Linked DNA regions of Callithrix jacchus. The protein of the gene in region 1 purifies or fractionates together with the protein of each later gene. This does not show direct contact. Links are inferred from orthologs where the notes say so. Each region holds a gene or a part of one and is shown on either strand. Other genes may lie near its edges.

Region 1 (5,045 bases):
CAGCTACTTCAGCTCGGGCTGGGTGAATTCCCCAGGAAGCCCATTGTCACCGGCCAAACCAATGGCAGCAGCCATGTTTCTCTCTTTTAAATGGTCAAATCAGGCAGGACCATAAGATGCAGTTCTGCCCACAGAGAAGTGAGAGCAGTGCATGGGGTCCATTGTGAGGGGTCTCCTTGCTGCTGGAGAGGCATGTGTCCCCACTCCCTCTTCTTTCCAGCTTGCAGACTGCTTGTGATGGTAGCACAGGCTGAAGGGAACCTAGCCTTTCGAAACAGGAAAGCCTCCGGGCAGGGCTTGGCTGCAGGACTGAGTGGCTCAGCGGCAGTCACCTAGTCAGTGTGACTTCTTCCGCCTTCTGGACTTGAAGGTTGTACCTCTTTGCAGGGGCCCTGGAGCCCCATCCCTCCTCCCTCATACAGGTTCAAAAAATGTTTCCAGCTGGGCGCGGCGGCTCAAGCCTGTAATCCCAGCACTTTGGGAGGCCAAGGCAGGCAGATCGAGAGGTCAGGAGTTCAAGACCAGCCTGACCAACATGGTGAAACCCCATCTCTACTAAAAATACAAAAATTAGCTACACATGGTGGCGTGCACCTGTAATCCCAGCTACTCAAGAGGCTGAGGCAGGAGAATCGCTTGAACCCAGGAGGCAGAGGTGGCAGTACGCTGAGATGGTGCCACTACAGTCCAGCCTGGGTGACCAAGTGAGACTGTCTCAAACAAAAAGTTTCCTGGCTGGGTGTGGTGAGTCACACCTAGCACTTTGGGGGGACTGAGGAGGGTAGATTTGCCTGAGCTCAGGAGTTTGAGACCAGCCTGGGCAACACGGTGAAACCCCATCTCTACTAAAATACAAAAAATTAGCCAGGTATAGCAGGCATATGTGTAGTCCCAACTACTCAGGAGGCTGAGACAGAATTGCTAAAACCTGGGAGGTGGAGGTTGCAGTGAGCCAAGATCACGCCACTGCACTCCAGGCTGGGCGACAAAGTGAGACTCCGTCTCTTAAAAAAAAAAAAAAGGTTTCCTGTGTTCAGATGCACAACCAACGACAAGCTGTTGGAGGCTGCAGGCTGCTTTGATTCTAAGGAAGATCAAGATTGGGCCGTGTTCTCAAGTAACCACTGGAACTTTCTTCTCGAGCTGAGGCCCCTAGCTGTTCAGCAGCCCTTCCCTTGTACCACCTGCACTTGGACCATGAAGAGCCACCCACTCCTCATCCTCATCCTCATCTCACAGGCCTCACCCCTGCCACGGAAGCTGTGACCTGTGAGCCATTCCCCTCTCCTGTTTCCAAATCTGTATCATGAGAGTAATAACCGTACCACTTTCCAGGGTGCTGAGGGTGAGTGAGGCTGGCCCGTGGGACCCAGAGAATTGCATCGGGCCCACACATGAGCACTCCAAGAGCCACTGTCAGCCCTGGTCACCCATCCCAGTAACAGCAGAACATGGGGTGGTCCTGTCTGACCCCCAACCCTGGAATGGGCCAGCCTGGGATACAGAAAACTGCTCCTTCCCAGGCCTCCCTCTGCATCAGCCCTGAAGGCAGCCTGTGTCCATGTCTGGGTGCTGATTGTCACCAACACTCATCAGACAGAATCAGTGAGCAAGCCCTGGGGCCAGGCAAGCCTGCTGTCCTCCTGGGGGTGGAGGGCCTCCCTACTGGCTCCTAGCAGGACAGAAAAAAACATCCTTTGAATGAGGAAAAGAAACCAGGGTCATTCTGTTCCCATCCCCGGCAGGGCCGGGGAAAATTCCCGAGGGGCCTGGGCACAGCCCTCCACCACACTTCCAGCAGCCTGAATCATCAGCTCTCTGGCCCATCAGGGCCCTTCTACTCCCTCGCTGATGACCCTCCTTTTTCTCCCTCACTCAGACCATCCTCTGTGAGGTGGGACCATCAGCCAGGGCTCCCTCAGCTTCTGGGCCATCTGCCCAAAGTGCTGGCATTACAGGCGTGCACCACGTCCATGCATCCACCCATGCAGCCCAGGGGAGCCTGCCCACTCAGGCCAGTCACGCACCACAAGGCCATCCTTTCCCTGTGGTCAGCAATAGCCTTCTCGCCCCAGGGGAGGGACGGCAGGGCAGGGTGCTCCCCTCAGCTAGGATCCAACCCACCTCACCTCACACCTCACCTGTACCCAAGGGATACGTGTGCTATCTCTGCCCTGCCACAGCCACACCTGCACCCCCCAGACCCCAAACGCAAGGTGCGAACAGAGAAACGGAGGCCATGGGGTCAACCCAGGAAGCCCAACAGGCCCAGGAGCCTGACAGAAGCGCCTACCACCTGGCTTCTTCCCGGGATCCACAGCCTCAGGCGGGGCAGGGGCGAGGGCAGGGCCACAGCACCACCACCTGTCGCAGGCGGCTGAGGACGGAACGAAGGCTGTGGGTCCTCGGCAGGCACAGCGGTGCTGTCACCCACGCGGAGGCCCAGCGGTCAAGGTCCAGCGGGAAGCGCAGGGGCAGCGGCTTAGACCAAGCAGCCCAGGTGGGTCCCACAGGAGGCCGAGGTACAGAAGCCCCCGGCAAGGACGCGGCGCTCACAGCCAGGGACCAGGCAGAGGCCTGCGCGGAGGCCCCGTGCTGGGAAAGCAGCCTCACCTCGCGGGCCTGCCTCACCTCCAGGGCGCGCTGCCAGCGGCCACTGCAGCAACCCGATCCCCAGTCCGGGAGTCCGCCTCGGCAGGGGGCCGGCCCCGAGGCCTGCGAGAGGGGGACCGGGGCGCGGGGAGCCGCAGCAGGTGTCTGTGCCCTGCCGGGACCGCACGCCCGGGCCAGGAACCGCTCTGCAACGGGCGCGCGGGCTAAGGGAGCCCGGGTGCGGGAAGGTGCCCAGCAGGTGCGAGCGCGGACCGGGAGGGTCCCAGGCCTGCGTGCGCCCCGCTCAGGGCGGCTTCACAGCGGACCCGCTTCAGGCCCTGGCCTCAGGCCCCGCCGGAACCCCGCTGCCCCTCGGCGAGAAGGCAGGAAGAGCAGACGCGGAAGGGCGGCGCCGCCCACACCTCCCCGGCGCCGCCAAGCCCGCGCCCCAGCAGTCCCGGGCGGCGGCGACAGCGACTCCGCGGACCCAACCCCCGGCCCCGCGACGGCAGCCGCTTCCGGGAGCCCCGGCCCCGCGCAGGTGCGGCCAACGGCCCTCCCCGAGGACCCGCGCCCACCTCGGAACGGCAGCGGCGCCCCCAGGCGTACGCGCACGGTCCCGGCCAGAGGCTCCCCGGGGCTGTAGACGACGCGGCCGTGGCTCAGGCTGATCTCGAACAGCTGCACTCGCCCCATGCCGCGGCCTCGCCGGCCCGCCGCGCAGTGACGCCCCCGCCGGCGGCCAGCGGACAGGGCTCGGAGGCCCGGCCCCGCCCCCCTTATGCCCCGCCCCATCCAGGCCCTCCCGGCCCCGCCCAACCCGGCCCGGCCCCGCCCCGCTATGTCCCGCTCCATCCAGGCCCTCCCGGTCCCGCCCAACCTGGTCCGGTCCCGCCCCCCTATGTCCCGCTCCATCCAGGCCCTCCCGGTCCCGCCCAACCTGGTCCGGCCCCGCCCCCTATTCCCCGCCCCATCCAGTCCCTACCGGCCCCGCCCAACCTGGCGCGTCCCCGCCCACCCCCGGCCGCCCCCTCGCACGCGGGCTGCGGCTCGGAGGTCCGGCCCCGCCCCTATTCCCCGCCCCATTCCTCCGCGTGGCCCTGCCCCCGCCATGCCCCACCCCACCCCGGCAGCCCTCATCCATCCCAGGCCCAGGCCCGGGCCCGCGCCCCCCTGGGTAGTGGCCACGCTGCGTCGGGCGCCACTTAAGGGACTTGCGGCGCAAGCGACCCCTGCGTGCCCCACTGAGGGAGTCATCGCCGCGCCTCTGTCAGGGGGCGGGGCGGGGGACGGGGAAGGGGCGGGGAGGGGGCGGGCCGAGGCGAGCTCTGGGACTGAGGAGGGCTCCCCGCAGAAAACCCACGGTCTCCGCCCCCACCCTCTGCCCGCCCCTTCATGCATTCTTCATCAACCCAGGTCGCGGAAAAACGTCTCGGGGCCGCGCCGGCGTCCTGGGCCGGAGGGCTCCGCCGCCTACCACCTGCCCGGCCTCGACCCCCACCCCCGGCTCCTGCCCTGCACCCCCCGCCTTCCCCGCACCTACCCCGCGTCCCAGCACCTGCCCCGTCCCCGGCACCGCCCTCCGACACCTGTTCGGCGCCTCTCCCCCACCCGGGCTTCCCCCCACCGCGGTCTTCCCCGTACCTGCCCCGCCCCCCCGTTGGCCTGATGGGTTGCAGGGCCCAAAGGAGCCACACTTGGACGGGGCGGGGGTCCGCAGCAGAGGGGTCAGGGGCCAGGTGGGGCGGGGACTTGGATTACTTGAGACCCGGAGGAACACACTCCGATTTATCTTTTTTAAAGGTCCCTTTGTAAAGACTGAGCCGCCGGGGGTGGGACTCAAATACCCTGGGGACCTAAGTGGGGAGAGTCCCATTGGATAGTCCCAGAGAGAGAAGGCGGCCTTTGCCTGGGACCAGTTCACCATGGAGTGGGTGAGGCGGGCCCCACTGCTGCGAGTTTTTCTAGGACAGCAGGCGAAGAGGGTGGCCTTCTCTGATGGGGAGGACGGGCCTAGACACACGCGGTTTGCAGGTGGGAGAGTCATCACATGCAGAGTCTGAGGTGCCACTGATCCCCAAGTGGACCAGCTACTTCCGTGAATGAGCCTAGGAGCCAAGCACTAAAACGTTGCCATCTCTGGTTGGTAGAAGGTAACAGGTCAAGGAGGAGGAGTTTGGCACCCCAGCAAAAGGAGAGTGGCTCACAGGCTGTAGGAGCTCCCCCCCACCTGCCCGGGCCTGGATGGAAGAGACTCTGAAGCCCCAGTCCCAGCTGGCTCCCTTGGGATTCTGATGTTTCAGGAGGTGAGTCTGACTGGCCATGATCCAGACACTTTCCTGACAAGACTATACACAGGCAGAATTCCCGAACAAGAGAGAAGAGTGCAGTTGAATGGCAAGGATTATGGACAACCCCCCCGGAATGGCAGTCAGCCATGCCAGAAGTCAGAA
Region 2 (4,593 bases), on another chromosome or scaffold:
GTTCAGTTTCTTGAGAAACACTGAGACTTCATTTGCTCTTAATTCTATGCACAAGCAGCGATTTTCTATGGGGTACTTCTGCACCATTCTGTATTGTCAAACATGGAAGTCTTTGTGACTGATTCCACTGGGCTCAGGCACTGGGCCCATCTGAAGCTTCTAGAAAGTATGTTTCTGATGGTTGAGAGCCCAAGTTAAAATGCTACCTTGATGACAGTGTCACAATTTCACAACCTTTCTCAAGGGTTTATACTCTTGGACTTGGGAGATGTCTTCTATCTCCCATTCAAACCTTGTTTTGGATGGGCCACGTAAGCCTCATGCCCGTATCACTGAAATGAGAATTATAAAGCCTGCAGAATATGATTTAAGAGAACTAATTAGGTCTGATGGCTTTTAATTGGTACTGTGACATCCTACCTTTGTGGTAAGGTACTACTGTCCTGAGTCTTTTGGCTGGGAAAGGATTCTACAAGGTTGAAGCTAATATTTACAGACATCATGGAGTTTTATTTCTTTGAGTTCTTTATAAACCAAGAAAGTGTTAGTGGTATGGGGTGAGCAAAGCTGCCTTCCAAATCAAGAAAGATTCTCACCCGCTTAGGCTAATTTTAGTATGCTCCTGCTTCTCCTAGGGAAGGAGGAACTTTGGAAAATGTGAGTTAACTGGGAACTGGAAGACCCCTGCTCACTATTTACATAAAAGATTCTCCTGAAGCAACAAAAAACAAAAACAAAAAACAACGAAACACTGCTTAGCTTTATTTTTTGTAAGAACAATACTTACAATCAAAGAGCTGAACTGTTCCCCATTGGAGTCTGGAGTGATCTGAAGCCTTCTGCTCAGTTCCTCTGACAGCTCCTGAGGGCTGGTCCGAGATCCCGGGGAGGCCGGTGGTGGGGGCAGAGCCAGACTGAGAGAGTCTCCAGCAATATTCACTTCCTCTGAAATAGTCTCCCAAGGCTTTCAGAGAAGGAGACACTGGGGTAAATGCTAGGAAATGGGGATCTGCCCAGCTCCCCAACAAAAGCATGTAACAACGATAGCCACAGTAATAACTATAATACCTACTAAGCGCCTCTCACAACCTTCACAATAATCGTGAGGAAGATAAGATATATTTAAAACCTTCAATTAACAGATGAGGAAACTGAGGCACAGAGAATGACCTGCCCAAGGTAACAGCTAGCAAGTGGTAGGGCCATGATGTGAACTAAAGAGGCCTGGTTCTAGACAGAGGCTGTGCTCGTAACCACTTTATACCACCACCTCTCTGAATGGTGACTGATTTCCAGCACTTGTTACTTTATGCATGTGCCAAAACACACACACACACACACACACACACACACACACACACACACACTTTTCTCTTGACATGGACTTCCTTTTTAATCACCGCATTGTGAATGATCTTCCTAAGACAACGTCTAAAATGGATTTTTAGTATGTAAACAGAGCTGATAAGACATCATGGAAGTTTATGGCTCATCTGTTGTTTAATTCATAAAGTTTTAAGTAGTATATCATAACAGCTTAAAGGGAAAATTGCAAATTTTTATTCACCCAAATTTATATTTTCATGGTAATAAATTTCTTTCAAGGTGTCAAAGCGACTCAGTAAAAACGTGCATGTGATATCCAAACAAGTTATAGGGCTCATTCAACAGCTCAACTATGATAACTAAGTTGTCATTTAATGAAACATGGTTAGACGCTGGTGAAAAATAAATTACAAAGTGAAAATATCTTCAGATTTTCATACTGAAAGATAATGTTGGCTGGGCTCATTGGCTCATGCCTGTAATCCCAGCGCTTTCGGGGGCTGAGGCAGATGGATCATTAAGTCAGGAGTTCAAGACCAGCCTGGCCAATATGGTGAAACCTTGTCTCTACTAAAAATACAAACAAACAAAGAAACAAACAAAAAAATCAGCTGGGTGTGGTGGCGGGCGCCTATAATCCCAGCTACTCGGGAGGCTGAGGCAGGAGAATTGCTTGAATCTGAGAGGCAGAGGTTGCAGTGAGCCGAGATCACACCACTGCACACCAGCCTAGGAGACATAGCAAGACTCCATCTTGGGGGAAAAAAACAATAATGTCATTCCCAGTTCTATCAATAATAGAGCCACATGTACTTGTCAAATATGGCTTTTATAGCACTTTCAAATTAATTAATATCCATATGGTAATTAATTCACTGTGTCAACATCATCTTTACATTCTCAACAACATTTACTGAGAGAAGAATTGATGATATAAAATCAGTCTGGAGAACATGGAAAGAAGGAGCTGCAGGGCTCTGCAGCATTCTGGGGACATCGTACCTCTGGGACATCCCCGCCCTCCGAGGGCTCCGGCTCCAAGTCCTCGCTGATGTGCCTGCGGGACCGGAAGCGCCGGTGCGCTGCCTCCTGGTTGATCTGTCTGATGTTATTGTCCGACTCAGAGGACACGTCCCTGAGCACGCAGGAAAGGGGGAAGGAGAAAAAGAGGAGAAGTGGTTGAGATGGAGCCTTTCATGACAGTCCAGTGCCCACAGAGGGCCAGATGCCCACTCAAGCGTCAGCATAAAACACTGACTAGCTGGTCATCCAATGTGAGAATTCTCCCACCATATCACAGCTGAAGTATACGTTAAGGTTCACTGCAATCAAATAAGTGCAGTTTTAAAATGCATTACACCATTTTGAGTATCTTTCAGGCATTTATTTGAGTATCTTTCAGGCATATTTGAGTATCTTTCAGGCATATATAAGGTACTAAAGTATACCTTAGTGTTAAATAAAAAACAGAAATCAAAGTCCTCTACCCATCTGTCACAGTGACAAGTCAGGCCTCTGGAAGGAGAGGTGACAGGCGAGTTCACACAGCAGCTGGGCAGTCCCAATCCTTCTAGAAGTCCAGCAACGACAAGGCAGCTACTTTTGGTCACCAGCAATTTGACCAAAGACTACAAAAGGTACAAATTCAAAGCTGCCATCGAGATGAAAGTACATCTGATCCAACGTGAATTCTTTTCAGCTGCTTTCTAGCTCATTTTGACAGAATCGCAAAATTGTGACACTGCATTTCTCCTCTTTACCCTACTTTAAAAATCCTAGTAACTCTCAAGTCAGCTGGGGTCTGAAGACCACCACCACATCACACCGTATTTTTTGTCATGTGATGCTCTCGATTCAGGATCTAAAAGTTTTGATTCAATTTTGAAAACTTTTTTGGGCTGGGCATGCTGACTCATGCCTATAATCCCAACACTTTGGGAGGCAAGGGTGGGTGAATCACTTGAGGTCAGGAGTTCAAGACGTGCCTGGCCAACATGGCGAAACCCCGTCTCTACTAAAAATATGAAAATTAGCCAGGTGTGGTGGCATGTGTCTGTAGTCCCAGCTACTCAGGAGGCTGAGGCAGGAGAATCACTGAACCCAGGAGGCAGAGGTTGCAGTGAGATGAAATTGCACCACTGCACTCCATCCAGGACAGAAGAGTGAGACTCCATCTCAAAACAAATACAAAAACAAACCAACTATTTTTTTGCAGTAAATTAAAGGCAATCATTCTTTGGGGGGAAATACTAGTCAGAGGCTTTTACTGTACAAGTTTAAATGCCAAAAAGGTTTTCAGGGAAAACTCTCACAGATACTTTCAATAAGACAGCATATCATGTTAATGAAAATTACTGCACAAGTTAATATCTCAAAAGTTGAAATCTTTATTTCACATTAACTGAAATATAGTACTTATCAAGAACACTCATTATAGACTCCGTCTAAAACACAAATTTTAAAATTTTCTTACACATTCTGAAATGAACTTATGCCATATCCCAATAAAGAGCCTGCTAGCAGAGGCTGTGGTGGAAACTTTCCTTAACTAACTTTCTTCTTGCCTTCTGGAAGTCATGCCCATTGGAAGGAGGCACTCCTCAGGTTCCACCAAGTTCTGCTGTGTCCTTCCTGGCTCAGCCCCTCCCTTTGGCATTGCTGCCTCTCTGATGGGGTAGCTATGCCTCTGCCTTCTCCCAAAACTACATGTGAACCTGAACCTGGATTGAGAACTGCATTTTTCGGCCGGGTGCAGTGGCTCACACCTGTAATCCCAGTACTTTGGGAGGCTGAGGCAGGCAGATCACCTAAGATCAGGAGTTTGAGGACTGCTTGACCAACACGGTGAAACCCCACCTCTACAAAAATGCAAAAATTAGCAGGGCATGGTGGTAGGTGCCTGTAACTCCAACTACTCAGGAGGCTGAGACAGGAGAATCACTTGGAGGTTGTAGTGAGCCGAGATGGTGCCAACTACACTCCAGCCTGAGCAACAGAGTGAGACTCTGCCTTAAACAAACAACAGAAAGAGAACTGCATTTTTCCCTTGTTGCTCTAGATTAGTGAAGAGCCAGCAAGTTATACCTTTTGTTTTAGTTTCTGGGACACTGCCACCCAAGTCGGTTTCTCTTTTAAACTACTTTATTAAAGTCTAATCAACACATTAAAAAGTTGTTCATGTTTAATGTATGTCTCCCCATCAGTATGGGGTCATGTGTATATACCTCTGGAACCATAAAAAAATAGTATATATTAAAAAATGTATGA

The links. Proteins that work in one complex are often made in the same cells at the same time.
Region 2: the proteins of ARRDC1 (region 1) and NEDD4L purify together in Homo sapiens (affinity purification with mass spectrometry; 3 studies listed by BioGRID and IntAct, counting the BioPlex papers as one, with this or other methods). This does not show direct contact. The link is inferred for Callithrix jacchus from reciprocal best matches to the Homo sapiens genes ARRDC1 and NEDD4L.

Annotation. Positions count from the first base shown.
Region 1 is NC_133502.1:185,956,835-185,961,879, reverse strand, and holds the start of ARRDC1 (arrestin domain-containing protein 1), read right to left. Parts: upstream 3,318-5,045; 5' UTR 3,289-3,317; coding exon 3,171-3,288; intron 1-3,170. UniProt on the Homo sapiens protein: Functions as an adapter recruiting ubiquitin-protein ligases to their specific substrates. Through an ubiquitination-dependent mechanism plays for instance a role in the incorporation of SLC11A2 into extracellular vesicles.
Region 2 is NC_133514.1:101,372,725-101,377,317, reverse strand, and holds part of NEDD4L (E3 ubiquitin-protein ligase NEDD4-like), read right to left. Parts: intron 2,462-4,593; coding exon 2,329-2,461; intron 965-2,328; coding exon 788-964; intron 1-787. UniProt on the Homo sapiens protein: E3 ubiquitin-protein ligase that mediates the polyubiquitination of lysine and cysteine residues on target proteins and is thereby implicated in the regulation of various signaling pathways including autophagy, innate immunity or DNA repair.